Linked DNA regions of Kluyveromyces lactis. The main gene of each other region encodes a partner of the protein of the gene in region 3 in a complex. Links are inferred from orthologs where the notes say so. Each region holds a gene or a part of one and is shown on either strand. Other genes may lie near its edges. The genes, in order: NUP57, ASM4 and NUP120.

Evidence for each region.
Region 1: NUP120 (region 3) and NUP57 share a complex: the UniProt entries of both Saccharomyces cerevisiae proteins name them as parts of the nuclear pore complex. The link is inferred for Kluyveromyces lactis from reciprocal best matches to the Saccharomyces cerevisiae genes NUP120 and NUP57.
Region 2: NUP120 (region 3) and ASM4 share a complex: the UniProt entries of both Saccharomyces cerevisiae proteins name them as parts of the nuclear pore complex. The link is inferred for Kluyveromyces lactis from reciprocal best matches to the Saccharomyces cerevisiae genes NUP120 and ASM4.

The regions. Positions count from the first base shown.
Region 1 is NC_006038.1:975,740-979,502, reverse strand, and holds NUP57 (FG-nucleoporin NUP57), read right to left. Parts: upstream 2,247-3,763; coding exon 531-2,246; downstream 1-530. Other genes in the region: MSS18 (Mss18p), read left to right, coding at 1-349; Golgi transport complex subunit COG2, read right to left, coding at 2,538-3,251. UniProt on the Saccharomyces cerevisiae protein: Functions as a component of the nuclear pore complex (NPC).
Region 2 is NC_006042.1:687,759-690,763, forward strand, and holds ASM4 (FG-nucleoporin ASM4), read right to left. Parts: upstream 1,769-3,005; coding exon 524-1,768; downstream 1-523. Other genes in the region: NUR1 (Nur1p), read left to right, coding at 1-414; LUC7 (Luc7p), read right to left, coding at 2,028-2,798. UniProt on the Saccharomyces cerevisiae protein: Functions as a component of the nuclear pore complex (NPC).
Region 3 is NC_006039.1:1,080,620-1,084,382, reverse strand, and holds the start of NUP120 (Nup120p), read right to left. Parts: upstream 2,396-3,763; coding exon 1-2,395. Other genes in the region: FAR8 (Far8p), read right to left, coding at 2,780-3,763. UniProt on the Saccharomyces cerevisiae protein: Functions as a component of the nuclear pore complex (NPC).

The DNA.
Region 1 (3,763 bases), on a different chromosome or scaffold from region 3:
ACCCAATGAGCCATTTGTATTTTTGAATAATCCGGTAAAGTACTACCGAACGTTATCTGGCAAAGTTAAAGACATCCACAGGCGCGACTTATTCAAGTGGTTATTTTTGGAGGATACAGAGAGATTTAAAACTCCTGAAGGCAATTTTACGGGGGAACTTTCCTATAGTAAAAGGTTTATTGAATTTCCATCGAATAAACCTACAATTCAAATTATCCCATGTTTATTCCAAAATCTTACGGAGCTACCAAACGAAATGAATCATTGGCTTAGATTACCTGATAAAGAGTTCAAGGAGTCTACAAAAAGTAGGATATCAACCCTTTTCCATGGATTTTCAGGCCTATAAATCAAAGTGTCATGTCTTGACATAATGCACGGTAAGTAAGTTCTTTCTCTTAGAATAAAGTACACAAGTTTATAAACATTTGTCAGCAAGACAAAATTATTGAGGAAACTGCTCTCTTTTCATGCATTTGAATTGTTCGAGATTAATAACATTTCTTGAATCAGAAATGTGGTGATGATGTTCACTTATTTAGCTTTGTGTGAACTTCGTCGACAAGTTTCTGATCCTTTTCTATAACATCATTTAAGAAACATAAACCACGTTGTTGATTACTTAAAATTTCGGCTATCTTGTTCACCCGGTCTTCTAGTTCCTCGTCTTGATTATTTTTCTTACCGTTCGAGTTGCCGCCGTTTTCGCTAATCACAACAAGAGTGCTATCGAGTTGCTCGCTTATATTTTTGGCTCTTTCTTTCAATACAGAGAGTCTTGCCCAAAGTTCGTTGTTTTTCCCTAGACCTGCTGGATCATTGCTCTCTTGTAATAGTTTATTAAACTTGTTCATCATCTCCTCTTCGTGTAGGCTCAATGGTAAATTCTTGCTTTTCAATATGGCTAGCTGAGAAGCCAATTTGAGAATTCTATTTTCAATGACGGTGTTACGGGAAACAGCTTTTGCTATCCTTGACTGAGTATCTAAATCATGCTTAGTGTTAACTTGATTTAGCTTTTCCAAAATTTGGCCCAAAAGAACTCTAGCCTGTGCAACATGCTGCTTTTGTAATTGATTACGATCATTGAGATCCTGAAAACCTAGTAGTCTAATTGGAATAGTATTATTACCAGGTTTACTCATGAGCGCTTGATCCCAATCATCCTGCGAGATTGATAATGGTTTATTATACAACATAGCTTCAGTTTCCGTACATTTATTGTAAACAAACGTCTTAAGTTTTGATCTTTGCTCACTTGGCACCCATGATTCCTTACACTTTAGAATTTGTTCTTGGATTTGTTGCGGATAATTAGATATTTGTTGCTGTTGCTGTTGTTGCTGAATTTGTAGCTGTTGTTGTGGTTGCTGAACCGACGGCAACTGTTGCTGGGGCTGTACTTGTTGTTGTGTGTTAGACCATGCAAATGACGGTTGCATTGTAGTAGATGGCGTTGAACCAAACAAGGATGCCCCCCCTGGTTGTTGACCTTGCTGGCCCTGTTGTTGCTGTTGCTGCTGTGATTGTGTTTGATTTTGGCCAAAGAGAGATGTAGTAGCTGGCGCAACAGGCTTGGATCCAAATAGTCCTCCAGTAGTGCCGCTATTAGAAGTGTTATTGCCAAAAAGTCCGCCTGTGGATTGGCCCCCAGTTCTGTTTCCACCGAAAAGACCTCCAGAAGTAGCGCTGGTATTTGTATTTCCGGAATTACCAAACAGTCCACCCGAACTTCCTGTGTTCGCATTATTATTACCAAACAATCCACCTCCAGTGGGATTTCCTTGGATACCAGTGGTGGACTGCTGTGTGTTATTAAACAATCCACCTGCCGGTTTGGACCCAAACAAACCTCCACTGGTTGGGGCAGTATTATTCTGCTGTATTCCTGTAGAGTTTGCATTGCCGAACAACCCAGTATTGGTATTATTCTGCTGATTGGATTGGCCGAACAACCCGCCTGTTCCTCCCGCGGCAGAGTTCGTGTTGCCAAACAAACCCCCAGTAGAAGGTTTCTGCTGTTGCTGTGTACTTCCGAACAGACCTCCTCCAGTGTTTGATGTATTACCTATCGAGTTGTTATTCTGTCCGAACAAGCTACCAGCACCACCAGGCTGCTGCTGTGGCTGTTGTTGTTGTTGTTGACCGCCAAACTGGAACCCTGTGTTTCCAGCAGCAGGTTTGTTACCAAATAAACCGCCGCCATTGTTCATTGAACTATTTCCCGAATTCACTGCACCAAACATGGCTAATTGATGACAGAAAATTGAACCTTATCGATATTCACAGTGTTCTGTTAGTACGCTGGCCCTGCTATATTGTCAGTTCGTTCTTATAGATTTAATGTTAGTTGTGATGTTTGTTGATGCTTTTGTTGTGAAGAACTGAAAAATTCAAGATCGTTCATTATGATGAGATGAGGCTCAAAGTCAGAGATGTTATACACATTTACGTAAGGATACTCATAGCGTAGACTCGCTTCCACCTAGGGGGTGGAATCTCACTTTATTTGAATTGGGTTCGCATTTATCATATATTTAAGTTTTTATGGTTTGAGTTTGCTGGTTCTGCTTCTCGAGAACGGGTTTAATTAAAGGCTTTGCGGTCTCGAGAATACTTTTAAAGTCGTTTCTCATTCGAGTAATTAGGGTGGAATCATTGTCTTCCAAATGTCTAAATCTGTAGTCACAACGTATTAGTATAGTAGAGAGCTGCTTTGCCACTGTGAAGGAAAGCTCGTCGTCGATATTCAGCTGCACCATAGACTGTAAGGATGATACAAGTTGCTGGCATATCTTTAGCGATTCTGATAGCTTTGTGATATCGTCCAGTTTACCAAATAGGTTATCAAGCGATTTTAGGTAGGATAATGCTGTTACTGTTTTTTCTCTAGTTTCAGCCACTGAGGAATCACAAAGTTGGAGTAATTGCTTGTTGAACTGTTGTAGATCATTCAAGACTTGTTTTAACTTATTCAACACCTCGTTATTGTCACTAGTATTAAACCTGTCACATATTTCCATGTACTCGGGATAATTGTCATTGATTTCATCCAGTATAGTTTGTTCCATTGATTGCTTCAAGGCAGATACTTCATATGAGAGTTCGTCTAACGATACGTATTGGAAGTTATTCTCAAGTAATAGCTTATCTATATCTAAGCAGCCATTCTTCCGTACAAAATTGGAAACTAACTCTCTGCTTAGTTCTTTAGTTACTGGTAGATCCAAATCATCATTTAGGTCGGTCATCGCTGGGTGAGAGTAGTTTCACACAGTACTTTCCCTCTCTTTTCGCTCTTGTTCCGTTTTTCTGGTAATGATCGTTCGAATATAAGGATCGATTCGTACCTTTAAATATCTTGAACGCTGAATAGAATTGATAGTTAGAAAAATACATGTATATAACAAGGGCAAAGACCGATACATGTGTTTGAATGGGTAGTTTTCGGAACACACTTACTAAACTGATGGTGCAATACAGATGAATAAGGGTGATATGATTACTGCGCATCACGTGACTAATTTTCCTTAAGATAAGTAAATCTATAATCAAGAATGTTTAGATACTTTTGGTCCAATACCTCATCCTTACCTTGTGGCAATTGCATGCACTGCACTGTCACTACTATAACAGTGTCAACTAATACTTGATGGTGCTAGTTCTGTGTTTCATTTCTGTCTTCTTAGCTAACGTGTATTTTTAACAGAAAAAACGCGTCTTGGTGATTTAACAAGTAGAAGATGAGACACAACTTGCTTGA
Region 2 (3,005 bases), on a different chromosome or scaffold from region 3:
CATAGTCCGCGTTTGAGCCCTTCTCGCTATTCTCATCTTCAAAGTGGTAATACACCTTCCGCTCCCTCCACGCCACTTCTAATACCATCTCAACAACCTCATTTCGATCATTCCATGTTGGCCAATGCATCTAGAAATCATAATATAAGTGAGAGAAGAAACTCTCATAGTCCTATTAAACAACACTTTGCAAATAGGTTACTAAACTATCCGGATGAAACAAATGATAGCATACCCGATGTGTCTGATGACAGATTCAGAATGGATGATCGTTTCAGAAGAGGCAGACAAGGCTATTTCAATCGATCTCCCGACATCAATTCTGGTACGTTACATTACGATGATGGTGATGATGATGATAACCGTATATCAAAGTCTCCCTTTCGGAATTCATCGTCTTCACCATTTCGGTAGTTATTCACTCAAATACTCACATTCATTGAAGTTTGGTGCACTGGAATTTCTTGAGGTATCCGTAAATTATATAAACATAATACATCTCTAATTACTAAAGACAATGAGACTATAGGTCGTTCCACCCGAATAACCAATTGTTGACCCTTCCAATTAAATTTGTTGGTTGTTGGTTATTCCCATGCTGTTCCTGTTCTCGTAACTTGTTCTCCAAATTTCTTAAAAAGTTTGGACCACCATGAGGAGGGTTTGCATTATGCACAAACAACTGCTTTCCATCTTTGACATCCAATTTCCGAGTAGAAAAGGTGAACCCATGTTTATTATTATCAGCACTTTCTTGTGTCCCATTTTGTATATCAGATGATTCAGGTCCGTTTGGTTTCATCGATAAACTGAACGGGATTTCTCCGATGTCATCAGTTTTATCGATTTTGCACGAAGCCAATTGTTCTACGGCTGTTTTGCTATAAGGAACGCAGCCAATTAAACAACCTCCATAAACGGTACCATTCTCTTGTAGAGCTCTCAGAGCGGCACTAGGGGAGTCATACGTGATTTTAATCCATCCATCGCCCGTGAAGATAGGATATTTCTTATGAGGAATTTTAGAGTCCTTATTTTGAGCACGAATTCTAATAGTAGCACTGGATATGTTGTTACCTGTAACACCTCTTAGAACCTCAAGGTCCTCTAAAATATTTCCGAATTTTGAGAAATGTAATATTATTTGGTTTGAAATGGATTCTGGATATCCAAATACAATTACTGCGCTCTCTTGCGATTTTTGTCTTGATATATCATTTGTTTGATCCGCTGTCGGTTTTACAGGGGATTTCGACGCATCTCTGTCGAATGCGTTTCTTGTGCTCTTAGTGTATTCTTGAGTCAAAGGTATTTGGTTAGACGAAGGCATTGCGTTCACGTTAGTGGGGACAGACCCGAACTCATCCTCTCGTTGCCAATCATATAACGATTTTGTTGGGGGAGCTTCATTCGATTCCACATAAGTCGCGATATCAGTAGGTTGTGCAGGCTGCGTAGAGCTGAATGTTGGCTTCTTTGTGCCAAACTGGACGCTATTGAATCCGGATCTTTGGGAAGAGTTGTCATTCGAAGATCCATCTCCAGATGAGCTCGGTTTAGACGATCTTTTTATCACGGATTGTGGAATGTTTCTCTTTCTAGCTATATTATACCAGTTTTCTTCCTTTCCATTCGTGGCAGAGCTCTGTACTAGTGATTGTGAACTATTCTGCTGTTGTTGGTTTTGCTGCTGCTGCTGAGGATAATTTATTTGCAAGTTTGCAAACCTGTTCTCTTGTTGCGCTTGTTGGCCAAATACTGAACTCATGATTTAGGATTGTCAGTTCGCTTTCTCAACAATGTTTCAACAGTCAAAAATGATCAATTTATCCTACTTGAAATTGAAGAACACACCAAACCACAGTGTTACCGGTGCATATGAACATGCTACGATGATAACAGCTATTCTCATCTAATCTTATTCTTGATGTTTATTAGTTGAAATTGTTTTATTTCAATTAGAATACTCAAATCCGGGTAATGTTTGCCATTATGAACAGCTTCAGTGTATGTGTAAATTTATACATTCACGATCGATAAGATTTACCTCTATATACTGCTTTTTGATGTCTCCTTGTTTGCGGGAGATATGTGTGAAGATCTGTCCCTTGTTCGTGCAATCTCTTTTTTACCATGTCAAGTTCTTTACGCATAGTTACGTATCCTAGATGGAGTTTGCCCATGAAATGGTCAGCGAGTCTTCTATCCGTGTCTAATCTTGAAAGGTAGGCTCCACATACACGGCATACCTGTAGCTTCTGTTGTGCACTTTGGCCTGTGTTTTCGTTCATTTGCCTGCATTTTTCGCTGAGTGTGTCCCTTTCTGTTTGCAGTTTGTTATATTTACAGCTTTGAATCATCGCCTTCATAACTTCTTCGTTTTGTATAAGCATATCGATTTCTGAAAGCATTAAAGCACATTTGGATTCAAGCTGATTCACTGCTTGTAGAAGTGCTGCTAATTTCGAATGTTCCTCATGATGCTGTAACTTTTTATGTGCCATTTCAATTTGAACATCACAATCACTAAGAATCTTCTTCAAGATGGAGTAATGCTCAAGGTCAAACTCAGGATATTTCTTGCCCTTCTTTACATCTCTTTCATATTGCATTTTATGCGAGACTGAATGTATACGTGGACAATGCCCCATGGGCTGCTTGGTCTCTTGGAAAAGGTCATAGGGGCAATGACCAATGATAAATGATTTGCACGTTGATGGTGAAGTTAGCCCATGCGATGTGGCAGCCGAAGACATAAGCTGAGAAATCAGCTTGCGCTGTTCTAAAATTGCAGACATTTCTCACTTACAAATATCTCTGATGGAAGTAACACCAAACTGTTGCGTGCAGTTTGGACTCTGTGATTAACTTTTTCTGCTCTGTTGGTCAGTTCAACAATGATACTTCTTCAGTACGCCTTTTCAAGTAGCTTGTTGAAAATGCCAGGTTTAAATTCTGACGACAAAATATACTGAAAATAAATATATAATAACACAAGCAAAACA
Region 3 (3,763 bases):
TTGTATTGATCGCATGAAGGAGATTGTACCAAACGTGATTTTCAGTAACCTCCAGATATTTAGGTAGTGAGAGCTCATCAGAGAAGTCATTTGCCAAGAATATTTCAATAGATGCATCATATTCATTGCATTTGAACAAAGAAAGAGCATATAGTAGTTCTTCTACTGGATCCTTGGACACATGGTAAGGCTTAGCAACAAAGTGTAGGAATTGCTTTGCACAAGTCAAATCTTCGCCGTTCAATATGAAATCGGAAAAGGCTCTTGTAAATATTGGAGGTTCAGCTGTTGGAGAATTCTTGACAAAACCAACCATTAATGTAGTAAAGTCGGTTATATCGCTGTAAGATTTCAATTGTGCACCATAATTGTATTTAGTAACATGACCGAAGGTCTCAGAAATTGCCAATAATTTATCTATTTGATACACTTGGAGCCACAATGAGATATTGAAGTGCAAGGTAATTAACTTAGACAACTTCTCTGCAAAAACTTCATAGTTGATATCCACAATAGTGAATACTAACAATATATCAATGATAAACTTATCCATAATGGAGAGTGTCTGCTTCAAGGATTCCATAGACAAAACAGATAAGAAAATGTCAGTATCTAATAAATCAATAACTGAAAAAGCACCTACTTTCAAATCACAGTGTATAAATTCGGATAAAACCTCCACCACATCAATAGAATTTAGATTTTCCAACAATTTTGATAAATTAGCACTTTGGAAACCATTTGTTAGACAATCTTGAAAGACAATGGTAATTTTATTTTTCAATGATAACGAGGGATTTATTGAACCATTTACCATGTCTAAGAACTTCTCAGATATCTTATTTAACGTTTCAGATGTAATGGTTGTTGAAAAACCATGCAGGATATTTAAGAAAAGCTCTAGTTGAGACGAGGGTTCCTTTCTCTCAAAAATGTTAAAGAAAATTGTTTCAAGTTGTGAGTCTAACTTATACGTGGAATGATGATACATGTGTAAGCTGTTAACAACAATTATCTCATCATCAAGAATAGTTAGAGTTGAAGGCTCCTGATATTGTTTATGAAGTTCTTTCAAAAGAGCTTCTAGATTATTCAAATAATCTTGATTATGAGGATCATTTATCTGCACCATGACATTATTTTTATTCAGTATCTTTTGTGCGTCATCGTACGTTGATTGTGAGTAGTGTGACTTGAGATTGAGGAGAGCCTTTTCCATATTTCCGTTTGTTATTAGGTCTGAGTCATCAAGCAAATCAGAGAGGTATGTGCTGTTACCATCAATCCATTTGTAGCTACTATACAGAGAGTCTTCGAAGGAGAGTAGTTGTAGCTTGGTCACTGTGTTACTTTTCCATAATAAAACCAAGTTGAGTCCCGATTGTTTGACAATTGAGGATTTTACTAATTGAATGTCAATTAAAGACCATATTGAATAAGATGAAAGATTGAGAGGTATATTAACGTTTAATGGTTTGAAGGAGATTCTTGAAGAATGCGTATTTTCTAATTGAATGACTTGGAACGATCCATTACCTGCAGGTAGGTATACAAACAGGAGAGATCCACAAATTATCATGTATTTTCCGGCAGCTCCATAATTCACCTGCTGGTTTTTCTCTTTTAGATCGAAATGCGCATTTAGTTGATATGTGGTTAAATCCCAGATTTTAATGGTTGCATCATTCGTTAATGTGACAAGATACTTGTCATTCAAAAGTTCTGCAGATACCACTGCAGAGTTGTGGTTATCGTACTTTGAAAACATTCTTGTAAAACTTTGAAAGTATGAACTATCATTGAATAGGACAGGTTGCAATTCAAAATCGTTTAATATTTCGAGCGGAATACGTTTTAACCCCAAAAGACCACCATCTTTTAGAAATACTACACTGAAGGTGTTATCAACATGAAATAGACACTGTGGAGGACGTACTGAGAAATCATACGGGTTTAAAACCTTCAACCAATTCTCAGGATACTCATTTTGACGAGTTCTCGATAGAATAAAATCGATAGGCAATGAAAGGTTGATGAAAATTCCATCCTTTAAAATCACATCAAAACATAGGTTGGAGGTCGTTTCACTAGATTCGTATACGACTGCAGTAAACCATTTGTTCAGAAGAGGTTTTGGAAAGTGGATATATATGGTTTTCCTTGCAAAAGTTTCCTTCATGGAGTAAATACTCAAAACAGTGTAATTATTACACCATTGGAAGGACAACGATTCATCAATTAATTTTAGTTGCAACAGTTTGCTGTACTCTACGGAAGTTATTTCTTCTGTAGATGATCCAACATTCCCATTGACGTATAAATGTTGGGCATTGTCTGATGAGTGCTTCGATTTTAATTGTAGTAAATTTGTATTCAGACGAGAAAAGCTGGTCATTTTTCGCAGTTTCAGCTTTACCTCTCAGCTGTTCAATAGTAATGTTGTAGGTTTATGTTCCGATTTAGCCTGTAATTGAAGTTCTCTGGTGGCTGTTCTCTTCTGTTTACCGATTCCACTTCATGTCAGATTGATTTCAACATGTCTTTTCTCATTGTTGTTGTAACCATGAAAACAATATTATCCGGGTAACTTATAACTGAATTTTAAGGTCGCTTGGGCAATAATTTCCATGTTGTGAGGAGGATTATATAGGTACTCTGGGGATACCATGTCTATAGACGATGACGTTCGTCTTGTACTGTTTTACATGAGCATTATAGATTATTTTCCTATATTTCTCTTTGAATTATAGCGGCAGCTTTGATTACTATAGCATTGCGTTCATAAGCTCATAATTTTTTCTAGTCGTATCACACCGTTATAGCCACCAGAAACGATTACAGGGGTATCATCTATGACTGTGGATGCAATGGCAATTGGTTGCACTTCAGCGGGAACCTTCTCAGGGTGTTCATAATGATTGTATTTTCTAATTACTTTACCATCTTCTTTGATTGACTTCACGAGTATTGAACCATCCTTCAAAGCGGTGACAGTGTACTCCAAATCATTGAGGAAAATCGAGGAAATAGCAGATTCTGCGGTAGAAGACACTAAAATGGTCTTCTTCTGATCGAAAGAGTAAATCAGAGTTTCTGTATCGAATCTCACAAGCAATTTTGATGTCGACCTGTTCAATGCTAATTCATTATTTGTGTGATGGAATTGGGTCAGCGAATGAGAAAGATCGATTTGTTGTAAAAGGGAGCCTTGAAAGTCGAAGATAGAAATCTTTACGTTTTGTTTTGAACTACCATTTAATATTATAAGCGATTTTTCCGTTAATCCCAACAAACAATTGAGAATCTTATTGGGGACTGAAATGACGAATTCATTAACCTTAACGATACTGGAGTCATCGATTTTAATTTCCCAGACCCGTATCTCGTTAACGAAAGTCAAAATTAGCCATTTATTTTTGAAATCTACAGATTGTAAGCCTTCTAAATCCTTGAGGCCATCCCAAGATATGACAGGGTCGCTCTGGCTTACGTTCCACAACTTGACGGAAGTTTCATCCACAGTCATAAACCTTGTTTTATTCAACCAAAAAATACCCAAGAGGTTAGGCACACAGTGAAACGCCTTGGTTGCCTTTTCATTAGAGTTCAAACTAGGTTCAATGAGCCAGTGCTTTAGTAAACCATCTGAGCCAAAAGATAGCATGTTGTTTCCGAGAAGCTTCAATTTGCTAATTGAAGATAAATGATACTGTAAGAAACGATAAGTATGGAATTTGAGCATCTCATTGGATTGTGTTGAGAA